4 linked regions of the Mus musculus genome follow. The protein of the gene in region 1 interacts with the protein of each later gene in a biochemical or structural test. Links are inferred from orthologs where the notes say so. Each region holds a gene or a part of one and is shown on either strand. Other genes may lie near its edges.

The links.
Region 2: the proteins of Sp1 (region 1) and Nfya form a complex in vitro, tested with the Homo sapiens proteins (2 studies listed by BioGRID). The link is inferred for Mus musculus from reciprocal best matches to the Homo sapiens genes SP1 and NFYA.
Region 3: the proteins of Sp1 (region 1) and Klf10 form a complex in vitro, tested with the Homo sapiens proteins (2 studies listed by BioGRID). The link is inferred for Mus musculus from reciprocal best matches to the Homo sapiens genes SP1 and KLF10.
Region 4: the proteins of Sp1 (region 1) and Nr2f1 form a complex in vitro, tested with the Homo sapiens proteins (2 studies listed by BioGRID). The link is inferred for Mus musculus from reciprocal best matches to the Homo sapiens genes SP1 and NR2F1.

The regions. Positions count from the first base shown.
Region 1 is NC_000081.6:102,425,489-102,431,100, forward strand, and holds part of Sp1 (transcription factor Sp1), read left to right. Parts: intron 1-142; coding exon 143-308; intron 309-4,468; coding exon 4,469-4,668; intron 4,669-5,236; coding exon 5,237-5,544; 3' UTR 5,545-5,612. UniProt on the Homo sapiens protein: Transcription factor that can activate or repress transcription in response to physiological and pathological stimuli.
Region 2 is NC_000083.6:48,405,522-48,411,613, reverse strand, and holds the start of Nfya (nuclear transcription factor Y subunit alpha), read left to right. Parts: upstream 1-1,793; 5' UTR 1,794-1,988; intron 1,989-6,092. Other genes in the region: ADP-ribose glycohydrolase OARD1, read right to left, coding at 206-350, 710-748. UniProt on the Homo sapiens protein: Component of the sequence-specific heterotrimeric transcription factor (NF-Y) which specifically recognizes a 5'-CCAAT-3' box motif found in the promoters of its target genes.
Region 3 is NC_000081.6:38,296,413-38,302,597, reverse strand, and holds the start of Klf10 (Krueppel-like factor 10), read left to right. Parts: upstream 1-1,886; 5' UTR 1,887-2,003; coding exon 2,004-2,039; intron 2,040-2,048; exon of another isoform or gene 2,049-2,181; intron 2,182-2,457; exon of another isoform or gene 2,458-2,631; intron 2,632-2,697; exon of another isoform or gene 2,698-2,886; coding exon of another isoform or gene 2,887-2,901; intron 2,902-3,522; exon of another isoform or gene 3,523-3,591; intron 3,592-3,776; exon of another isoform or gene 3,777-3,851; intron 3,852-4,745; coding exon 4,746-4,976; intron 4,977-5,070; coding exon 5,071-5,983; intron 5,984-6,185.
Region 4 is NC_000079.6:78,194,575-78,200,748, reverse strand, and holds the start of Nr2f1 (COUP transcription factor 1), read left to right. Parts: upstream 1-1,875; 5' UTR 1,876-2,175; coding exon 2,176-2,629; exon of another isoform or gene 2,630-3,545; intron 3,546-4,299; exon of another isoform or gene 4,300-4,394; coding exon of another isoform or gene 4,395-4,407; intron 4,408-4,581; exon of another isoform or gene 4,582-4,647; intron 4,648-5,059; coding exon 5,060-5,587; intron 5,588-6,174. UniProt on the Homo sapiens protein: Coup (chicken ovalbumin upstream promoter) transcription factor binds to the ovalbumin promoter and, in conjunction with another protein (S300-II) stimulates initiation of transcription. Binds to both direct repeats and palindromes of the 5'-AGGTCA-3' motif.

The DNA of each region.
Region 1 (5,612 bases):
CTCTTCCTCCTGAGTGCTGGGATTAAAAGTGTGCTCCACGGGAAAAAAAAAAAAAAGAGCCAGTCGTGGCTGACTCTGTTGTGAAATTTCGGTAGCTATTTAGTCCTGCCTTTTCACCTTTCTCCTTGTCTTTTTATTTCAGGTGATCATGGAACTCAACTTGGTCTTCATGGATCTGGTGGTGATGGGATACATGATGAGACAGCAGGTGGAGAAGGAGAGAATAGCTCTGATCTCCAACCCCAAGCTGGACGCAGGACTCGTCGGGAAGCATGTACATGCCCCTATTGCAAAGACAGTGAGGGAAGGTGAGTTCATTTTCTTGATTATAGAATTTTTCTTTTACTTTTTTTTTCTTTCTTATAAAAATATGAGGAAAAAATGATAGGAGAGGACTGGAGAGATGGTTCAGTGGTTAAGAGCACTGACAGTTCTTCCAGAGGTCCTGAGTTCAATTCCCAGCAACCACATGATGGCTCACAACCATCTGTAATGGTATCCCAAGTTGTCTTCTGTTGTGTCTGAAGAGAAAGAGAGTGACAGTTGTAGTCACACGTGTCTGTAATCCCATGTTTTGTGACAGACTTTTCCTGAGGAGGTATAATAAGTACATGTGTCTTTTTTTTTTTTTTTTTTAGTTTTTTGAGACATGGTTTCTCTGTATAGCCCTGGCTGTCCTGGAACTCACTTTGTAGACCAGGCTGGCCTCCAACTAAGAAATCCACCTGCTTCTGCCTGTCAAGTGCTGGGATTAAAGGTGTGCCACCACACCTGGCACATGTGTCTATTTAACCCCACATAGGGAGTATATAAATAAAATGAGGGTTTTGAGATAAAGTTAAGAACAGGACTATGACTTCTCCAAGGTGTAGTTGAGGGGAAGGTTTTTATTGTAGATAAAGAGGTAGGGTACAGCCGGGCTTGGTGGTGCACACCTTTAATCCCAGTACTCGGGAGGCGGAGGCAGGGAAATTTCTGAGTTGGAGCTCAACCTGGTCTACAGAGTGAGTTGCAGGACAGCCAGGGCTGCACAGAGAAACCCTGTCTCGAAAAACAAAAAATAAAAAATAAAATAAAATGAGGTAAGGTACAGCCAGAGGCACTGAAGAGTTCAGAGCAAGGAGAGAAAGTAGACTAAATAACAACCAGTAGATTGGACTTGGCCATAACAGGAGAGAGAATGGGGTAGAAAGTGAGAAAGATAAATATGAGAGGCAAGAGAGCACCTGTCTAAATGGCAGGGTTACGTGGGAATGATAAGCTTAGGGAGGGAAGATTATAAACTGGAAAAGTTTAGGTTAGGGGCAGGGGGAGAAGAGTCAGAATGGACTTTTAACAGGTATTTGCAATATGTATTGTATTTTTCTGGTTTGGTTGGTTTTTGTTTTTTGAGACAAGATCTCACTATTTGACCTCTCCTGCTTTAGCCTCCCAAGTGCTAGGATTAAAGTCACGTGGTCTGCCAAGCTCAGCAGCTTTTATTTTATTGTTGTTTTTGAGAAGGTGTCTTTTTGTAGCCCTGGTTTTTCTGGAACTCACTATGCAAACCAGGCTGGCCTTGAATTCATTGAGACACTCCTGCCTCTGCCTTCGCAGTGCTATGGTTAAAGGTGTGAGACCACACCCAGCCCCTGTAAATGTAACTTTTATTCACCAGATAATTGTCCTTTAAACTAGGCCTGGAAACCTTCAGCCTCTGAGATTTACTGCTGAGTAAGCTGTTTTTTGCTGGCTCAATTCAGCTATTCTGACTCAGAACTCCCCTCCAAGCTGACTGATTCAAATGGGCTTCTTTTTGCATCTCACTTAATTTCCTTGCTTTACCTCAAACTAACTAGCAATCTGTTCTAATCTTTTGACTCTTTTTTTTTTTTTTTTTTGGTTTTTCGAGACAGGGTTTCTCTGTATAGCCCTGGCTGTCCTGGAGCTCACTTTGTAGACCAGGCTGGCCTCGAACTCAGAAATCTGCCTGCCTCTGCCTCCCGAGTGCTGGGATTAAAGGTGTGCGCCACCACGCCCGGCCTTTTGACTCCTTATTCTCTAGCTTGTTCTTTTTTTTTTAATATTTATTTATTATATGTAAGTACACTGTAGCTGTCTTCAGACACCCCAGAAGAGGGCATCAGATCTCATTACAGATGGTTGTGAGCCACCATGTGGTTGCTGGGATTTGAACTCAGGACCTAACCACTGAGCCATCTCTCCAGCCCACTTGTTCTGTCTTTAACTGTGTCTAGCTTATTATAACTCTCTTCAACCTGTCTCTGTAGGGGAGGGGAAACCTCTCCCTGTAAACTGCCTCTGAATTCCATTAACTGAACAGAACTGACTAGAACTCAAGAGATATGCTTGCCTCAGTCTCCTAGGATTAAAGGCATGTCTGTATCCCAGCCTGTCTTCCAATGGGGATGGCATAGTGAGTTCTCGGATCACATAGACCTAGAAGATCTTTGGATATGATCTCTTGCCAGAGTGGCCATGTTCTGAATTATAATTCTTCTCTAAGCTCCTTATTTTAATTTACATGGAATCAGATGATACATCTCCTATCTTGGCCTTGAGTTTTTGGTTCTTGTGCTTCTGTCTCTCGAGTAGCAGAGATTACAAGGAGAAGCCTCCATGCTTTTCTTTTACCTTCATATTTAGGCCTGAAGGAGTGGCTCATTTTGTTTTAGTTTTTCAAGATAGGGTATTTATTTATTTATTTTTATGTAGCCCTGGCTGTTGTGGAACACCAGGCTGGCTTTGAACTCAGAGATACACCTGCCTCTGCCTCTTGTGTGCTGGAATTAAAAGCATGTGCCAGCACCAGCATAAAATTAGTAGCCACCCATAAGAAAAGCAAACACTGCTCATGCACATAAAAAATAATAAAAAGAGAGCATGGGCTAATAGGATAGAACTTTGTGCAAAAAACAAAACAAAAAAAAAATTCATGTAAGAAAGTCAGTGAAGCTAGATTTGTTGGTGACACAGATCTGCTGCCACAGTACTTGGAAGCAGAAAAATTGCAGATTTGAAACCTGTCTAATCTAAAAGTCAATTTAAGACCAGCATGAGCTAAATAAAAGAGATTCTGTCTGGAACAACAAACATTCTGTGGAGCCAGACATGGTAGTGTATATCTGTAATCTCATCACTCAGGAAACAGAGGCACAAGGATAATCCCACTTTTAGAGCCAGCCTGTTCTACACAAGGAGTTCTATGGTAATTTGGGCTATACAATGAGGCCTTGTTGCAAAAGTAAGTAAATAAACTCACAAACTTGAGATGAACTCCATGGTAGAACATTTACCTAGCAATCAGAGTCAATGAGAAGTCAGAAACAAGAGCTGCATAATAGGACCTACTCAAATGTACTATATTACCCCTTTACAAGATTTCTGATCCCACAGTCTTTTTTTTTTTTTTTTTTTTTTTTGTCTACAGAGCAAGTTCCAAGACAGCCAAGGTTACACAAAGAAACCCTGTCTCCAAAATAAATAAGCCAAAAAAATTTTATTTGTGTATTTATATGCAGCTAATAGGCCAGAGAAGACTTTAGAGTCTTTGAATCTGGTGGTGTGGGTCACTTGGTTGTAGTTGCTTGAAATGAAATTCCAGTCCTCAGGAAGAGCAAAAGTACTCTTAACTACTGAGCAGTCTCTCTAGCTCCCAATAAAAATAAAAGTTGAAAAAACAAAAGCTAGGTGTGATGGCACCTGCCTTTAATTCCAGCCCTTGGGAGGCAGAAGCAGGCAGATACCTGAGTTTGAGGCCAGCCTGATCTACAGAGTGAGTTTCAGGACAGCCAGAAACTCATTTCAACTATACATTGAAACTCTGTCCCCAAATATAAACAAAACAACAAAAACAACAGGGGCTGGAACAATAGCTCAGCAGCTAAAAGCATTGATTGTTCTTCCAGAGGACTGGTTTAGATTCCTAGTACCCTATGTGGTGGTTCACAGCCATATGTAACTTCAGTTCCAGGAGACCTACCATCCTTCTCTAAACTCAGTAGGCACCGGTGTGCTGTGTTGCACATACATATGTGCAGGCAAAATACTCATAAAATAAATAAATCTAAAAAACATTTTGATACACAAACAGAGAGACAGATACAGGGCTTCTCTGTGTGACAGGCCTAGGCTGTCCTGAAACTTGATCTGTAGACCAGTCTTCCCTTGAACTCACGAAGATCCACTTGTGTCTTTCTTCGGAATGGCATATAAAAGTAAGTCCTAGTGACAGGTATAATGGCACACATACCTTTAATCCTACCTAGTTTTATGCAAGCAGAGGCAGATGGATCTCTGAGGTCAGCCTTGTCTACTTAGTAAGTTCCAGGACAGCCAGAGCTACATAGAGTCTTTCTCAAAAACAAAGGAATGGGTTAAGTAATTGCTTCTGACAATTACTATTCTAATTTCTTGGTTCCCTACTTTCTAGCTCCAGAGTGATAAATCATAATATTCTCATTTTTAGAGCCTCAGGAGATCCTGGCAAAAAGAAACAGCACATTTGTCACATCCAAGGATGCGGCAAAGTATATGGCAAGACCTCACATCTCCGAGCACACTTGCGCTGGCATACAGGGGAGAGGCCATTCATGTGTAATTGGTCATATTGTGGGAAGCGCTTTACACGTTCGGACGAGCTTCAGAGACATAAACGTACACATACAGGTGAGTAAGACCCAAGGGAAAAGGGAAAGTAGTAGACAGAAAAGAAATGAGGGCTGGAGAAATGGCTCAGTGGTTAAGAGCATTGACTGCTCTTCCAGAGGTCCTGATTTCAATTCCCAGCAACCACATAGAGGCTCATAACCATCTATAATGGGATCCAATGCCCTCTTCAGACAGCTACAATGTATTCATGAATAAAATAGATAAATCTTTAAAAAAAAAAGAAGAAAGAAAGAAAGAAATGAGCTCATAAGCTCTCACCTCTCTTATTCTCATCTCCAGCTCTCCCCCTCCCTTCCCTCCTTTCTCCACTTGGCCATGGCAGTCCTCTCTCTTTCTACCTTCTCTCTTTCTGTCTTTCTATAATAAAGCTCTAAAACCATAAAAAGAAAAGAAAAAAGAAATGATATGCCCATGAAGCAAACTGAAATTCCTAAACAATGTATATGTGAAACTAAGCGTGTCTCCAAGAGTACTTGAATTAGTCCAGAAGGATACACATCAACCTCAACTTTGTTCTGACTGCTTTTTGGCTAATTTATCTTTTTTTTTTTTTTTTTTAAACTAGGAGAGAAGAAATTTGCCTGCCCTGAGTGCCCTAAGCGTTTCATGAGGAGTGATCACCTGTCAAAGCATATCAAGACTCACCAGAACAAGAAGGGAGGCCCAGGTGTAGCCCTGAGTGTGGGCACATTGCCCCTGGACAGTGGGGCAGGTTCAGAAGGCACTGCCACTCCTTCAGCCCTTATTACCACCAATATGGTAGCCATGGAGGCCATCTGTCCAGAGGGTATTGCCCGTCTTGCCAACAGTGGCATCAACGTCATGCAGGTGACAGAGCTGCAGTCCATTAATATCAGTGGCAATGGTTTCTAAGATTAGACACCCAGTGCCAGAGACATATGGGCCAATACCCACTAAGCCCGGGATGCAAGGTAGCATGG
Region 2 (6,092 bases), on another chromosome or scaffold:
TTTAGTGTGGTAAAGATCTACAGCAGAGGCCAATCTTGAGGAAGTTTAAAAAAACTACAGCAGCAGCAATAACAACAACAAAACCCTTAACAGTTAAAAGCAGTCACTAGAAATCTCTTTGACTGTACATGTACACAGAGTATAGCGGAAGACCAAATCAGGCTTCAGCCAGCATGAACCAGGCTACGATGCTCTGGAAACTCACGTTGACTTAACAGTTCCTGCACCCCTCCGAATCTCTTCTTGAAGAGAACAGCTATTCCAGCACCCATTCGACAATCCTCACTGATACAATGGGCTAGAGAGTCTGTTTTGGGACATGCGAAAAGATCTCCTTTCACGTAAGTGATCTAAAACGTGCAAAGGAAAAAAAAAAAGGTTAAAAACAGAAAACTATTTCTCCTTTCAGATCTTCAACAGAGCCCCACCCCCACTGCTTCAACCCTGCTTCTCTGACACTCTGAATTAAAGACAACTCTTCCCAACTTAGGAGTTAACCACGATATTTTAAAGTATCTGTAAAAGGAAAGTGATGGATGGTTATTATCTGCCTAGGGTTGTATTAGCCTTTTCTAAGTAAATCAGCTAGAGAGAAACAAACAGGGAGGGGCGAGAATCCAATTATTGGTTTAATTAAAAAGTGTTTATGCTTTTGACCTCAATTATTCTGATTTTCACTTCACCGATAAATTTAATAGCTGTTACGCACTCGACTTCCTTCTGGATCTTCATTAAGGCGGGTGGCCATGCTACTGAGTCGCTATTTCCAGAATTTAAGAGTTCCTTCTGCTAATGAAAAGGAAAAGCAAGTAAAAAAATACCGCTCAGGCAGCCCGAACATAGCGTGTTCAGATCACCCTGACAACCCATTTAGTCTTCCCCACCTCCTTAAGGTATTCTTTCTGGATGTGAGCTCACTCAGCCTCTAAGAGGCAACACAAAACAGCTTTCCAGGAGCCGAAGCAAAGGCGGTCCTAAGACACACCTCCTTACTTCTAGCAGGGAAGGTTTAGGACAGTCCAGAATTTTCCCAGAGAATATAGCTTAGAACGGGAAAGACCTGGCCACAGTTACACTGAGCGGCAGGGTGAGCCGAGAACTGCTTCTCAGGGGAAGATCACCACCAGTCTTGGAGGTACAGGAAGGAAGGTCTGATAAGACTTCCCCGTCTCTCCTCCTACCCTAAGGAGGGCAACCCTGGGATCCCGCAGAAAAGTGGGTACTGGGGGGTCATCCTTCACCTGCAAAGGAATCGGCCGTCAGCAGGCCCTCCTCCAAGCAGGGAAGGGTTCGGGATGAAACCCTCGTAGGTAGGAAAGCAACAGAAGAGTCCCGACACGCAACAAATCCCGCCAAAGCCTTTTGATTGTACGCACACTCAAGATGGCCGCCCCCATCCCTTAACGGGGCGGAAGTGAGCCTCTCTAGCTGGGTAGCGGCGCCCGCTCTCGGTAGTAAGGGCTTCAGAATTTCCGGCGGGAAATTCCGTAGGCTCCCGCTACCGCTCAGGCATGCGTACCGAGATGCCGACCCCGACTGGAGAAGAAGAGCGCTTGCGCATTCGGCCCCAGAGGGTGGGTCCCAGTGGACGCTTAGAAATAGGTGGGCAGGGGGGCGTGTCAGCGCCTGCGTGGTATATAATTCAGGGAGGTGTTTAAGCAGCAGCGTACGGAGCGTGTGAAAGGCGCCTGCGTAGGCCTTTGGCGGGAGGCGGTGTCAAATCCAGGAAGTGGGTGTGGCCTCTGGAACGCCTGCGCGGTGCTCTTCCTAGGGGGCGGGGCCAGGCTGGCCGGGGTTATGGGGCGTGGTCTCGAAGGCGCTTGCGCGAAGGCGGTTGGAGGGAGGCCCGATTCCCCTTTGTTCAGATTCGCCATTTTGCGAGGCAGCGGCAGTGGCGGCGGCAGCGGCGGCTGGAGCCTCTGATTGGGTTTCGGGGTCCGGTACTGGAGCCAATCAGCGCGGGCAGCGAACCGGGGGAGCGAGGCACGGTGAGTATGAGGAGCCAATATCCAGCGGCCCAGAGCCGGCCCCAGCGCCCCGATTGGCGGGTCTCGCTGACCACTCAGGAGAGGCCCAGGCGTCCGTCGAGCCCGGGAGTCGAGCCGAGGCTGCCCGAGCTGGGTAGCCAGTAGCCCCGGCTCGGAGTTGGTGGAGGCCTGCAGGGGCCGTCCAGCGTTGGGACGGCGTCCTGGAGCCAGGCTTTTCGGGATCTGGATCGTCTCCGGGGGCCGGTGGCGGATGCGCCACCGGTCCCCGATCCTCGGTCCCGAGAGGTCAGGTGGCTGACCGCCCAGCCACGGACCGTGGCGGTTTCCCCACGTCGTTCCAGCCTCATCCTACGGCCTGTCCTTGTGTGTCCCCACATTCCGGGCCCCGACGAGGCCCGTGTGTCCTGAGCTCTGCACAGTTGGGGCTACAGATCCGGAGCGAGGCCAGACTGAGACGCGCGGCGCGGCCTCCCAAGACCCACCCCGGGGCCGTTGGCGCGCCTGCCGCGCCCCTCCTCTCGGCCCGCCACCGGGGCTCCCGGGCCGGCGCCGTTACCACCCCTTTCTGGCTCGTCATTTCCTCCCCGCTCAGCCCGCGGTGCCGGCACACCTCCGTGCTGGAGCCCAACCAAGCACTCTTCCTCTTTTTGCTCAGTGTCTCGGTGTTTGAAACGCCGCTGTTGCAGAACTGATAACCCTTGTGCATCCTTAATGATTGGGGGCACACATCTCGCAGTTCCTATTATCCCTGTCTCCTCCCTTGATCTTTTCTCCCTTGGATGCTCTCTGGTTTTGTTTTCCTTTAATCTCTCCACTCAATAGCTCGGCCCACTCGTGTCTCTTTTTTCTAATACACCTTGAAATCCCGCGCGAACGTTTTCTCAACTGATGTTTTAAAACTTACACGTGCTTAGATTTTCTTTCCCCCTTCGGGGGACAGGAAGTCTTCCAAGGACTGCTAGCTATTAGTCTTTGGCGGACGTCACCCAAGTGCTGCAAGCGAGTAGGGCTAGGAGCTATGTCTGCTCGGTGGAGATTGACTGGTGTTAGTGTTTCATAGGGATCTGATCCAGTACCCAGAAGTGCACTTTACATGAGGAAGCCTATTTTCAGCGCCACGCTTTTGATTGGTGATGGAGGGTGATGTCCTCAGAGAGGAAAGACTGAAAAGAGTAACTGGAACAGATAGTGCGGTTGGACGCAGAAAGGCCGGGAGTACTGAGTTTAGGCGGGAAAGTCCAGTTGGTAAAAACCTTTGCAGGTCTTACAAAGGAATTTTTTGAAAACGGTTTTGACTGGAGGTTAAAAGTTAATCTAGAGTGGATTTCTCCCCTAACCTTGGGGGTGAAGGTTGCTGACCTGAGGATTCTACCCCATAGTCTTGTATTTGGACTGGGTGTTCTAACTTTGATTGGTATTTAAAAAAAAAAAATGGATGCATATGTCCACCTCAAAACTGCCAAATGTTTTTGTGGACAAAAGGCAGTTCTCCTCAGTCACTGTGACTCAGACCTGTGGAGCCTCCACTGGTTCCTCTGCATCTGCACTTTAAGAAAAAGTAGTGCAGACTCTCGATTTCTCTAATCTAATCACAGCCCAGGCATCTCCCTTTGTTTGAAATACTTCACCCTATACTACCTTCATCTGGGTGAGATCTCAGACTTAAACCTAACTCACATGACACCCTTTCCCAGTGCTTTCCTTGGTTTGTCCCCAGTGGAAAAGCCTCTGTCCCCCAAACTCCATTTACTGTATTTCCCTTTAGGAGTCTAATACACATTTTTGTTCCTTTTTAGACTTAAAAGCCTCTTTGAAGTTAACTTGTTTTGTTATTTAGTTCATGCTATCTCCTTAGTGGAGACAAGGAGCACACTGGAGCCTTCAAAGGCCCTAGCTGGGTGTGTGTGTGTGATGCCAGGTCAGATGGACTGCGGTGATCAGATGCTTATTGTAGGAGCATTTCTGGGCATTTCAGCTTTTGAAGATTCTAAGTGCTGGCCAGCTACTTCTGTGCCATGTAAATGGGCAGGAAATGCTATGGAAGAGAATGTCTCAGAGGCCAGAATAAACCCATTCTCATTCCTATTCATTCATATTCTCACTTTCAAAAACACATTCACAAGTCTGTAGAAGAGCTAGACAGACTAAATCCAGCTGGCTCAATTCTGTCATAAACTTGGGCACAGAAAGCGTAAGGAAAGGAAGTGTGTCAGGTTGTGTCACAGTTCTGCTGGCTGAGTTGATGGAGGAAGGAGCATATGGCCGCACTGGAGCCAAGAAGTCGGCACCATGGGCAACCTGAGGGTTGTGCTCCAAGCGCCACCACTCCCTTATCAATGCAGAATGGCTGCTGGGTTTGAAGCTGCCTCCAAAGCCCAGTAGGTTTCAATGGCCTAAGAGTGGAGCATTTGTATCAGCAAGATAACTGAGTCAACTCCAAATGTTCCTTACAGCTATTCCAGCCCTCTTGCCCACTTCAGGCTCCATTCTGCATTTAATCTGAGACGATGCAGACTTAGGACATTTAGCCAAGAAGAAAGTTTTATAGGAAAGCGTCTTGGGGCTAGTGGAAGCGGTAAAATACAGAGGTTGTTAATATCTTAAAAAAAAAAACTTTAAAATCTAATCCTTGTATATCTGTATTTTGGTGAGTTTTTAAAGCTCTCCACACCTGTACAGTCCCACTTGAAAAAAAGGGTGAGAACTTTGGTCATCCCCAAAATGGTCGTAGAGCTAGCTCATCTATTCAGTCTCTCCCACCTCCTTCCCTCAGGCTCAAGGAACTCCAGTTTGCTTTCTGTCTAGGCTTCTGATGTCAGAGTTTCTTATCATGGGGCCATGCTTGCTTATATTGTAGCCCTACTTTATTAGTCTGGAGACAGGTACATTGTTAGACAACAAGGTAAAATTCAGAAACATTGGATGGACTGTAGTAGTACAGGCTTTTAATCCCAGCAATCAGAAGGCAGAGTCAGGTGGATCTCTGAGTTTGAGGTCAGCCTGGACCACCTGTTAGCACCCTCAAGCCCCCTCACCCCCAGTAAGGAAAACATTGGTGCCCTAGTGGAGCCACTTAGTTTGGCTGATTTACCATATTGGACCTGAGGTCTCAAGAACCAGCTCAGGCAACTGGCTCCAACAGGCTGGTGTAAAATCTGCAAACTTAGCCAGCTTTTCAGCTGATGGGATTAATAGTCAGAATATAGAAAGAGCTCAGAAATTACAAACAAAATAACCTAAGCTATAAATACTCAAATTGATTAGACAGTTCTCAAAATAATACACATGGCCTATAGTTGTATTTAAAAATAACATACTGAGCCATCAGGAAAATGCAGATGAAAACTATACTGTAATTTCCTTCTCACACCAGTCAGAATAGTTGTCATCAAGAAAATAAAGAGTGCCGGTGAGTGAGGATAGGAATAGCTCTTAAATACCATCGGTTGGGATATAAGTCAGCTCTGCCACCGTGGAGTGTATGCACATTGGTGTATTAGGGTTCTCTAGGAACAGGACAGAGACTGACGTGTGTGTGTGTGTTCAGCTGGTCTTCAGTATATGACAGAATCTAGAAGTACTAGGCTGTACAGCCAGTGAAGGAATGAACTTGCCAGCAAGGGCAAGTAGGCGAAGGGCAAACACTTTCTTCTTCCAGTTCCTTTATATGGACTGTCACCAGGTGTAGCCAGATTACAGGTAGACCTACCCACATCAAATGATTGAACTTAGAACAATTCCTCACAGGTGTGCCCAGCTGCTTGGGTTTTCGCTAATACCAAATGTATCAAGTTGACACCAAGAAAAGCCATCACACTGTAGACATACCCCCCCAGCCCCCCCCCCCCACTATATGATCCCGCTATACTGTCTTGGGAGTACACTTGAAGAAGCTAGAGTCAACATGTACTAAAGACACTGCACTTCATTGCTGTGCCTTCATCACCAAGTTAGGGAATCTGTAGGCGCCAATCAGTGAGTAAACTGGTAAAGAAAATGTATGTATACTCAGTGTAGTATGCATTATGGTGTTTGTAGGGAAATGGATGATACTGAAGCTATATAGTAAGGTAACAAAGGTATATTCAGAAAGCCAAATACCAA
Region 3 (6,185 bases), about 64 Mb from region 1:
GGCACCACGCCAGACACAGGGTTCAGGCTTGGTGGGTCTGGCTGTGACCTCTCCCGGAGGCGGCTCCCTGACAGGAAGGCAGGCAGGCAGGCCTGCCACTGGGCACACACAAGAGCTTCCTGCGCTGCAGCAGGTGCCCAGGCCAGCTGCTCCAGCCCTTCAGACTCAGATCAACAGGATGGGCCAGCCCAAGCGGAAGGAAGCCTGCAGGGAAGGACACTCCTGCAGACAGAAGCAGGGCACCGGGTGGAGAGAGGCAGGAAGAGCTGCCTGGGTTGCTGAGTTGGCGCTCCTCCAGCGGATTCAGAGCAGGCAGTGACAGGAGGCCATTCAGTCATCTTCCCCCACTCCCACCCCCACCCAGGGCTTCTCTGGCCCACGTTATTATCATTACATTTGTTGCTGGCTGGCTTTAGGTATACCAGAAGGAACCATCAGATAGATGTTGGTAGAGCTGGAGGCCTCTAAAACAAATTCCCTCCTTTACCTAGTCTGTGGTGACTGAGAAAGGGCACCTGCTTTAGCCCTTTTAGCCCAGCAGGCTGAAAAAGCCCACAGGAGGGCAGTGACTTTTGTCTCATGATCTGCCTGTCCCAGGGAGAAGATAAAAATCTCTAGTTTGCTTTAAGCCCCGTTATCACTCCCTCCGGCTCCAACAGCTGCCGTGAACCCGCACAAACGGGCGAGGGGGCGGGGCAATAGGGCGCCAACGAGGAGCCAAGAGCTCTCAGACTAGGAGGCTACAGCCTCAGCCGGGCTGCTGCACCCACAAGCTGGCTTCCCTAAGAAGCTCAGCTTGCCCTCAATCCCTGGAGCGGTGGAGGGGGCAGGGACAGGAACTCGATGTTTGACCGGGTCAGGAATCCCACCTGCAAGCATGCTTTCCTCACCCCATCCCCTCAAGCGGTTTCTTGGTAGGGCGTCGGCGAAGACTGTGGTCCCGCGGGTGGGGGAAGTGGAGTCCACCTTGGAAATAGCTCGAACATTGTATTTTAAACTTCAACTACATCAAACTCAAACTCGATTCTGCCACCGAGCGTCGGGTCTGGGGCTCCCTGCCACGCCACTAGCTCTTTGGTACCGGCTTCCCTTAGTCCCCACTCCAACCGCCCAGAAGGACGGGAGGGACGCGCAGAGGCGGGCCCTGCTGCTAGTGCCTGTGCTGCAGATGGGAGGACGAGCCAGCGCCTGCCGCCTTGGGCGTGGGCGGTGAGTGCGAGCAGGTGTCTGTTCCGTGACAGGGCTCCCGCCGCCACCATCTCGCCCTGGTTCTCCCCAGTCCTCCGGCTTAGAGTGACAAAACCCGGCAAATGCTCAGAAATGCCGCTCAGTGGTTCATCCATCCCTTGCTTCCACGCAAGACCCACGAGAACCACGCTGCCAAAGAACGTCTGGTGGCTCGGAGCCGCGCTCGCAGCCTCCGCCTCCGCCTCCTGCTCGGGGTCCCGCCCACTCCCTGGCGGGCCCAGACGCTGTGGGCGCGAAGGGGACTGGGCGGAGCGGGCTTCCCTTCCCACCCCCCACGTGGGGCCGGCTCTCCGCAAAGCCTAGTCGCCGCCACCGCGCCTCCCAGCTATGCCCCGCCGCCGGCGCCGCCCCCGGGCATGGGCGGAGGACTGAAGGCTAGGGTTGGGCGAGGGGCGTCACGGAGTCAGGTGGTCCCCGGAGTTCCCCGGGGCTGGACCGAGGGAACACGGTGCCTCGGGTTGTGTACACGCTCCACTGACAGAGCCTCTTGCAGCCGGGCAGCCGCTGATCACGCGTGGCTCTGCCAGCTCATTGGCTGAGGCCTCACACACCTTTGCCGCTGATTGGTCGACACTAGGCCCCGCCCTCTACCCCGCCCGCGGCGCGGGGCAGGCAGAGCGGCTACCTGCACGGGGAGGGGGGCAGACAGCGCGGAGCGCGGTGGCGTCGACGTCTAGTGTCTCAGTGCTCCCGTCTGTGGCTAACTAAGCAGCCAGCAGCCAGGCAGCTCGCGACCTGCGGCCAGGCAGCCAACCATGCTCAACTTCGGCGCTTCTCTCCAGCAAGCTTCGGTAAGTTACCTGAGGATGCTGGTCCTTTCCTGCCGGTCAGTGTAGGGGAGCCAGCCGGAGCGCGAAGCATGAGCCCCTAAATAAGCCACGCCTGAGAACCCAGGCTGCAGCGGGGTCTTGCAAGGGATTTCCTCCCTGCAGGCTGGAATATCATCGAGGGCATGTGCAAAAAAAAAAAAAAAAAAAAAAAAAAAAAAAAAGGGTCGGAAGAAGCCTGGGACCTGGACCAGGGGAGAGCGATCCTGGGTATCCAGGAGACAAGGAGGACTCTCAGGGAGACCCCAGGAGACGAGTGAGCTGGAGGGGCTGTCTCCCTGGAAGCGCGGTTTAGATGGAGGGGGCGCCCTGCACCTGGCTCTGGCGGGAGATGCCCCTGTCTGCACCAGGAATGCGACCCGGGGTGACAAGGACTACTCACGGTCTGCCTAGCCGAGAGGAGGGCGCCTGCTCTTCGGGGGAGGGGGAAACCCTGCCAGGTGGAGACCGCGGGGCTGGGCTAGCCCGGGGCTGGGGGAGGGGATGGCCGGCTTCGCGCGGGGTATGGAAGGCACGCGGACTCTGCGGCCGCCAGGGGAGCCGCGGCGCCCCCGCAGACGTCGGGAGGGGACTCCCCATCCGAGGCGGAGGCAGGTGGCTGCCTATAGATTACTCTTGGCAGGGGGCAGGGTCCTGCCTTGGAGCCCGACAGCTTGGCGGGGGAGTCGGGACCGCGAGACGCGGGGGCCGCGTGTCGAGGCGGGAACCGTGGGGCCGCGCGCCTGGAGCCCGTGCTGTGGGCGCCGCACGTCTGGGAGCCTGCAGAGACTGCTTGCGGGGGCTCAGGCTGCCGGAAACAGCAGTCGGACGAATGCTGCAGATGCGGGTAGGCTGAGGTCCCGCGGGCCGAGTGGGCGGAGTGCCCCAGGCTCCGGCCGCTCCCCGGAGGCGGCGAGCAGGAGGAGGGCGGCGGTCGGGCTTCCGCGGGGACCCGGCCCCACCTCCCGCAGCCGAGGCGGAGGCCAGGGATGGGCGGCGAACGGGTGCACCCGGGGAGCTTCTCGTCCCCGAGTGACCCAGCCCCGGCCTCCGCCAGGGGCGGGAACGAGGCCCGGCCCTGCTGTCGGTTCCTAAGGGAACCGCGGCTCGGAGGAGGTGGAAGGGGCGGGCGACTCGGGAGCCGACACCGCCCAGCCCTCGCGCCGCCCGGCGCGCACTGGCGAGCGGTTGGCGGCGGCGCCCGCGGCCCCTCCCCGGCCGAGCGGGGGCGGGGGCCCGTGCTCAGGAAGTAGGGGAAAGGTGACGGCGCGGCAATTCCCAGTTCACGTTTCCTGCGCCGCCCGGAGCAGTCGCTGATCACGCTTTGTTCACATGCCTCGCCCCCTCCTCCTCGCGCCCCCACCCTGCCCGCCCAGCCAATCCGGACGCGGGCCGCGGGCCGGCCGGCCAATGGCAGGGGCGGGGCGCGGGGACGTGCGCGCGGCGGGCAGTGTTCCCGGTGACTCACCCGCCAGCCTCATTGAGGTTAGGGCGGCCCCATCGGTCGGTCCCCGCCAGCGAGGATCTCCCCCGCCGGCCTCCCGCGCCCCGCCCCGCCCCGCCCCGCCTCGCTTCTGCCTCCACCCGGCTTCCCTTTCCTGCCTCGCACCAGCTCTTCGCTCCCTCCCGGCTTCCCCTCCCGGCTCACATTCTTCACCCCTGGCTGCCTTTTTTCCCACCCCTCTTTCTTTGAGTTGGTGACTATAGGCTTTTTACACTTACAGTCTTCATCCATTGCAGCTTACATAAAGGCGCGAACGATTATGCAATTACATTGTTAGTGATGTTTCAAGAACCGTGTCTTGTTTTCCCACACTCAGCAGGAAGATAGGCATTTTTAGAAAAGCGTTAAGATTATCATTGCCATTTTATTTATGTATTAGGTTTTTGCTTTGTCTTTATGAGTTCAGGCTGGCCCTGAACTAGTTATATAGCCAGAGTTGGCCTGGAGCCTTATATTCCAGGCTCCCCCACTTTATGAGGCTTTTCATAATTTTTGCAACCTCTACTTTAACCAGAAGAATTTGGAAGTTCTTTTTAAGAGGAAAGTAGAGATGGTTGGTGATTCTTTTGAAATTCAGGTCATGGAACTTTTAATGTGAGACATTAGGTCGAAGGTGTTGCACACAGAGCATGATCGGTTATCAAATCATGTTTTAATTAAATTAAAACCAACTTGTACTCGGGGTTTTTTGTTTGTTTGTTTTTGCATATCCCAAGAACATATTTTATGCCTGTCTGGTCCCTTATGGTACAGAAAAGCATTGTGTTTAATAAATCTGATAAAAATCATAGATATTAAGAGATTGAGACTTGACCAAAATAAAATATTTTTTTCCTCTTTGGTTGCTTTGTGTGTTTTGCATTTTGAGATGCAACTTCCAACTTCTTGGCCTCCACATTCCTGAGATTATACATGTATCCCACCATGCCTGGCTGTATTTGTGTGTGTCCACTTATTTTACTCAATCTCCACCGTATGTGATGAAGTTACCAATTTCAGACTTTAGGTAACTAGATACCACTTTAACCTGGAAGTAGTTTAAGTCAAATTACATTTTAAGACATTCGTCTTAATTCCCTTACTGGTAATAAGGTGGCCTTTAACCTTGAAATAAAATAGCAAGCATTGGGCATTCCTGCGGTTTGGATAACCAGATAACTGATTAGCTTCAACTTTTGTTTTTGTAGGAGGGGAAAATGGAACTAATTTCTGAAAAGCCCAGAGAGGGGATGCATCCCTGGGACAAAGCTGAGCAGAGTGACTTTGAAGCGGTGGAAGCGCTCATGTCCATGAGCTGCGACTGGAAGTCTCATTTCAAGAAATACCTTGAAAACAGGCCTGTCACACCAGTGTCTGATACCTCCGAGGATGACAGCTTGCTTCCAGGGACGCCTGACCTTCAGACAGTCCCAGCATTTGTAAGTATTTTCAGTGGGTAGAAGTGACAGCATTTTTTAAGAGTTTACATAATGGACCTCTAATTCCTCTCCTTGCTTGTGTTTGTATTTGTAGTGTTTAACGCCACCTTACAGCCCCTCTGACTTCGAACCCTCCCAAGGGTCAAATCTGACTGCATCAGCGCCATCTACTGGCCACTTCAAATCTTTCTCCGATGCTGCCAAGCCTCCAGGCGCCACTCCTTTCAAAGAGGAGGAAAAGAATCCTTTAGCTGCCCCTCCTCTTCCTAAGGCTCAAGCCACCAGTGTCATCCGTCACACAGCTGATGCCCAACTGTGCAACCACCAGTCCTGCCCCGTGAAAGCAGCTAGCATCCTCAACTATCAGGACAATTCTTTCCGGAGAAGAACCCACGGAAATGTTGAGGCTACTCGAAAGAACATACCCTGTGCTGCAGTGTCACCAAACAGATCCAAGCCTGAGCCCAGCACAGTGTCCGATGGTGATGAGAAGGCGGGCGCTGCACTATATGACTTTGCTGTGCCTTCCTCAGAGACAGTAATTTGTAGGTCTCAGCCAGCTCCTTCGTCCCCAGTGCAGAAGTCAGTACTGGTGTCTTCACCTACAGTATCCACTGGGGGAGTGCCACCCCTGCCTGTCATCTGCCAGATGGTTCCCCTTCCTGCCAACAACTCTCTTGTTAGCACAGTTGTCCCCAGCACTCCTCCTAGCCAGCCACCAGCTGTCTGCTCACCTGTGTTGTTCATGGGCACTCAGGTGCCTGAGGGCACCGTCGTGTTTGTGGTACCCCAGCCCGTTGTGCAGAGCCCAAGGCCTCCAGTGGTGAGCCCCAGTGGCACCAGACTGTCTCCCATTGCCCCTGCTCCTGGATTCTCTCCTTCAGCAGCAAGGGTCACTCCTCAGATTGACTCGTCCAGAGTAAGAAGTCACATCTGTAGCCACCCAGGGTGTGGCAAGACTTACTTTAAAAGTTCCCATCTGAAGGCCCACGTGAGGACACACACAGGTACTGACCGAGTGGGCTCTGTCTTTGAAGTGGGTGTGTATGTGGAGTTAGACTGTGGACACAAATGCAAGGGAGGGTGAGGTAGATGACTCATTGTCTTTAAAATTAGTCAGTTTGTCCCTAGGCCTGGTGCCACACCCTTGTAATCCCAGCACTTGGGAATTGGAGGCAGAGGAAGCAGCACATCTGGTAATATATACAT
Region 4 (6,174 bases), on another chromosome or scaffold:
GCGCAGGGCGATCTCAATGTAAATTATGCTTGTCAGAAGCACCCCCCCCCTCACTTTCTCTTCTCCTCCCCTCGACATCCCAGACTGTAGGTAGCTGGGGGGAGGGGAAAAGGACTTTCCAACCAATGGCGTGAAGGAGGCTTGGCTAACCTTAGCCTCCCATTTTCTCTCCCCCCCCCCACCCCCCATTCAGGGCTCTGACCAGTCAGTCGCCTTTGATTATCAGTTGCCAGCAGCCCTTCTCTTGGCTCCTTGACACGAGCTCCATATAAGGCAGAGATCTCCATAGAAACGTGTCAGTTTCAATAGTAGTGTCAAAGTTCACTATATACAGACATTCGCGCAGATCCCCCTTTCGGAAACATTGCTCTGAGTGTCCTCCCGTTTAAACGCATTCAATTTTTTGGTCCCTCTCCTCTCCTCTCCTCTCCTCTCCTCTCCTCTCCTCTCCTCTCCTCTCCTCTCCTCTCCTCTCCTCTCCTCTCCTCTCCTCTCGCCCCTCTCTCCCTCCTCTCCTTTCTCTCACCCACTCTCCTCTTGCCCTATCTCTCCCCCTTTCTTTTCCTTACATATTCTACTAGTTGTCGCCCTTCCTCTTTCTCTCCCTCCTTTTCTCTTTCACTCCTTTCCTCTAGAAGAGAGAAGACTAAACTTGAAAAAAAAAGGAGGAGGAGGCACCCCTCAGTATTCTTCTTATCGTTATTATATATATATATGTATGTATATATATATATATATATATGATTTTTTTTGGAGGGAGGGTGTTGGTTCCCAGCTGAAGAGCACTTATTTAAAATACTAAAAAAAGAACATTTTTGGGCGATCTCCAGGGTTTTTTAACTAGCTCTGTGTGTTATAGCAGAAGAAGCAGAAGAAGCAAGAAAGAGGAAAAGAAGAGGATTATTTATTCGACCTACTTTGGATGTCTCTCTCGCTTTCTCTTTTTCCTTATTTTCTCAAGCATTTTCTTCTGATTTTTATTTTTTTCCTATTTCGCTGTGAATTCGTCGCTGGCGTGAATTATCTCGTATTTTTCTCCCCCTTCCGTCACCTCCCGAAAGAAGAAGGCAGAGAGAACCCGGCGCCACCCGCACAACAAAAAGAGCAAAGTGTGTGATCTTCCTCGCCGGCTGCCTCCCGCTCTCCAGCGCTGCCTTCCTGAATGGCTGGCTGCGTCCGGCCCTGGACCTGGCCCCCAGACACCCGAGCGCCCTGATCCTCGCCGGCAGCTTCGTCCCGATCCTGCTCGACTCTCCCAGCTCCCCGCACTCTTGAAACCGGGCGAGGGCTCCCGCCAGGACAGCGGCGGCGGCACGGGCAGCACCGGCCTCGGCTCGCTCTCGGGCTGCGGCCCCGACTCCGGCTCGGACTCCCGCCCGGGCCCGGGCTCCTCCAGCGGAGCACGCAGCGGCGGCCAGCTCCTCCAGCAGCGTCTGCAGCCGCGACCTCCTCCTCCGCGGCCGCCGCCGCCCTCGCCGCTTCCTCTATGTCGGCTCAGCCCGCGCTCTGCGCGTAGCCCCAGCGGCCAGCGGCCAGCGGGCGGGCGGGCGGGCGGGCGGGCGCCCGGCGCGGGTGAGCGAGTGTGTGTGCGAGTGTGTGTGTGCGCGGGGGTGCGGGCGAGGCGGAGGGCGAGAGTGTGCGCGCGCCGTGGCCCATGCCCGCCGCCCCCGGCGCTGCGCCCCGCGCCGCTCCCGGCTGCCGCCTGTGCCATTTCTGATTTTGCAAGTTGGGGAAGAAGAAAAAAGCGAGAGAAGGGAGCTCGCTCGCTGGGGGGTGGGGAGGGGGGAGAGAGAGAGAGGCCCCCCCAGGAACGGAGTGCGGGGGGAGCGGGCGAGGGGAGCAGGGGTGTTGGGGGGGGGGAGCCTGAGAGCCTGGGGGGGCTGCAAAAAGAGAGAAAGAAAACAGCAGGAACCACAACAAAACGCCAGCAGGGCGGGCGGGCGCGCAGCAGCAGCGGGGCGGCTGAGGCAGTAACGGCGGCGGCGGCGGCGGCGGCGCAGGCAGAGGCCGGTGCCCGGCTCGGGCTCGGCTCCGGCGACCCCGGGGCGCCCGGTGGGCCCCCCGCCCCCTCCCCCTCCCCCCTTCCCCTTCCCCTTCCCCTCCCAGCGCGCCCGCGCGCCCCGCGGCCCTCGGCGAGCAGCTCGGCTCCCCCCAGCGCTCCCTGGGCCCAAAGATATGGCAATGGTAGTTAGCAGCTGGCGAGATCCGCAGGACGACGTGGCCGGGGGCAACCCCGGCGGCCCCAACCCCGCAGCGCAGGCAGCCCGCGGCGGCGGCGGCGGCGAGCAGCAGCAGGCGGGCTCCGGCGCGCCGCACACGCCGCAGACCCCGGGCCAGCCCGGAGCGCCCGCCACCCCCGGCACGGCAGGGGACAAGGGCCAGGGCCCGCCCGGTTCAGGCCAGAGCCAGCAGCACATCGAGTGCGTGGTGTGCGGGGACAAGTCGAGCGGCAAGCACTACGGCCAATTCACCTGCGAGGGCTGCAAAAGTTTCTTCAAGAGGAGCGTCCGCAGGAACTTAACTTACACATGCCGTGCCAACAGGAACTGTCCCATCGACCAGCACCACCGCAACCAGTGCCAATACTGCCGCCTCAAGAAGTGCCTCAAAGTGGGCATGAGGCGGGAAGGTGAATATTTCTTCTCTGCTTCTCTCCCTGCGCTTCGCCCGCCTCCCTGCTCTTTCTTTCTCTCTCGCCTTGGTGCCTGTGGCTGTGGGGATGGGGCTTCTGTGGTCCCAGCCGGTCCGGGCTTCCCAGTCTTCGCTGCTTTCCTCCCCCAGCGTCCCCCCCCCCCCAGCTCGCTGCCGCTGCCTCCCCCTCCCGCCCTGCGCTCCTCTCCCCGGCTCCTCCACCCCGCCCGCTGCCTGCTCAAGATTGTGTCCCTGGGATCGTGAGCTGTAGCTTAAAAATCCCTCCCTTCCTCTGTTGGATGTGCTCCGTGTGTGTCTCGTTCCCGCTTGTGTGTGAGGATGCTTGGGGCTGTGCTAGCATGAACTTGGGAGGGGTGATGATTTTCTGCAGAAAACCGTTTCTCTCCGTGTGTGTTTTTGTTTTTTGGTTTTTTTTGTTTTTCCCATTCTACTTTCTCCTCTGCCTCATCGTACCTTTTATTTATAATGGGAGAGGACTGGGGCTGGAGGACCCTGAACCATAGATTCATTGCTGCCACCATCCTTTAGGAAGCTTAGCTTGGAAAAAGAGGAGTGAGATTTATTGCACTTGTAGGTCTAATTAGGGGGGAAGGGGGGCTTCTGGCCTGTTCACTGGCTCCCTCTCCTCTTCAGGGATCTGGGGCCGCCTCCTCCCGAGCTGTGGCCTTGTTTTCACCCCTATACTTTGAAAGGAAAGTTTGTGACTGAACCCTGCTTTCATAGTAGTGTCATTTTTAAAGCTTGATACTCGTTTTATTTCTTCATCAAACTCCACCCTCTGCTTAAATACTGCATACAAATTACAATTTACAACGGCATTTACCGATCCTTCTGATCTGGCTATAATGCACAGACTGCAGCTGGCTTGAGCTTCTGCATCATTTAATCGATGTGTGAGATTTTTTTTTTATTAAGCACAACTTTTGATGTTTAATTTGGATATGCTTCATATTCATGTGGCATGAGATGGAACACTTTTCTTACAAATATATTTAGCGGTTTATAGTTAAAGTTTATCTCCTGGCAATCATTAAACATATCTTATAGTCAAATTAGTGAACCAGTCAATTTCGAAGAACATAGATTACTTCTTCTTGTAATTGACTTCAAAATTATATTTTATATGCCACAAGAAAAGAAATTGAATTCCTTCAGATCTCAAGGAGAAGGCAAATATGACGACTCCATTGCTAGCTCCAGGGAGATTGTTTAGGCATCTGAAAAAAAAAAAAACAAAAAACAAAAAAAAACAAAAAAACTTTGAATTGTGCTCTCATTTAATTGAAAAATAACTGCCAAGTTCAAAACTATAATTAGAAAAAGTATTCTAACCATTGTGTTTCAAAGAGCGTAAACCGCACTGAAACTCTTGTTGGAATTAGAACCAAAGAAAATGATGTAGAGCCTGAGGTAGGACAGCTCTGTGGACATGGACCTCGCTCTACTAATTTGTTGGGGGATGGCAGTTCAGTAGCCCTAACTTTCCCTAGAGTTGTCTTTGTTTACATGGCAATTGAAAATGCTGGCACTGTTGAAGTAAAACATACACATTTAAAAAAAAAAAAAAAAAACTTTGGTCAGCTTTAAGAACTCAATGCATGCTTACGTTTTGCATTCAGATGGGTAATGAATCCAGTGTTTTTGCAGTTGCAAGCTCGCGCATTCACTGGGCAAAGCTGGCTGCAGGTTGCAGTGGCATCGCACAGGACAGACATTAATTGTAGTTCCTACTTTTTTTCAATATGTTTGGCTACTGTAAGTTCAACTTCTTTGAAATTTTTTAATTTTCTGTTTCTTTTAATAGTGAGAAATTTGTATGGGGCAGTCTGGAGGAGGGAAGATGGGAGGAGGTGTGTGTTATGCTTGCTGGTAGTCCAACTCAGTAAGATATATATATATAACTTGTATCTTTTAAAAATTATTCTGTAGCACTTTAGAGATTATGGGAACATTTTATACACTTGCTGCTTGTTTACAAGTGAAGAGTACTCTAAGGTTTGTGGCTTTCTCAGGTTTCATTTTTAAAAGAGAAACTTTGATTTGTATCATTCTGAAAGGATTTCATTTATATCTGTGTTGCTTCTTAGTAGCTGGGAGGTTGGGTGGTACTTTCTTAGCCATCCTGAGCTAGGGGCCTTGCAGTCAGGCCTAGTTCTTCTTCTCTAGCTAAAATAGCCAGGGATGCAGACTATGGATGGACACACGGAGCCGGTGAAGGTAGATGACTTCACCCTAGATCTCCTAGCAGTGTGATCTGTGAGTAAGACCCAGCAAGCAGGAGAAGATGCTTCGGGAGCGAGTGACTGCAGGAAAGAACCACAGTGCGTTGGGTGCGCGCTGCGGCTCGGCGATGTTCACAAGCCCCCCTGGATGCACATTGCCTCTTTTCTCTCTTTCTTTTTATCAGCGGTTCAGCGAGGAAGAATGCCTCCAACCCAGCCCAATCCAGGCCAGTATGCACTCACAAACGGGGATCCTCTCAATGGCCACTGCTACCTGTCTGGCTACATTTCTCTGCTGCTGCGCGCAGAGCCCTACCCCACGTCGCGTTATGGCAGCCAGTGCATGCAGCCCAACAACATCATGGGCATCGAGAACATCTGCGAGCTGGCAGCCCGCCTCCTCTTCAGCGCCGTCGAGTGGGCCCGCAACATCCCGTTCTTCCCGGATCTGCAGATCACGGACCAGGTGTCTCTGCTGCGCCTCACCTGGAGCGAGCTGTTCGTGCTCAACGCGGCCCAGTGCTCCATGCCCCTGCACGTGGCGCCGCTGCTGGCCGCAGCCGGCCTGCACGCCTCGCCCATGTCCGCGGACCGCGTCGTGGCCTTCATGGACCACATCCGCATCTTTCAGGAACAGGTGGAGAAGCTCAAGGCGCTGCACGTCGACTCTGCCGAGTACAGCTGCCTCAAAGCCATCGTGCTATTCACGTCAGGTGAGGATGCGGTCGCGAGGAGGGCAGACTGTGCGGGGAGCTGGTGGGCATGGCGAGGCGAGTCCCTGGCATCCTGCAGCTCCCGCACCGCCGCTGTCGCTGTGAGGCCGGGCGCTCAAGCCACCTTGGGCCTGCCCAGGGTCTGCAGCCCGGGTATGTGGTTGTCGCCGACCGCGCCGCTGCCATCTTGGGAGCGTAGTGGTGCTTGGAGCGGAGGAAGCTCAGTGAGGCCAGCGGCCTGGCCTGATGGATGGCCTGGACCCAGCGCGCCCCGAGAGTGAGGCGACTGTGTGTCTAGGGAGGCAGGGCATTGTGGATCGTCTAGCTTCTGTGTGTGAACTCTCTGTGTGCGTGTGCGTGTGCGTGTGCGTGTGTGTGTGTGTGTGTGTGTGCGCGCGCGCGTGTGAGTGTGTGTGTGTGTGTGTGTGTGTGTGTGTGTGTACAAGAGCTCGGTGTTTCTGTGGGAGGAACGATACAGAAGGAAGAAGAGAACGTGGGAAGGTGGCTTCCTAGTCTGTGTGGCACACTCCTTGGATGAGTTTCCCGACAGAGAGACACAGACAGAGGCGGAAAGGGAAGAATACGCA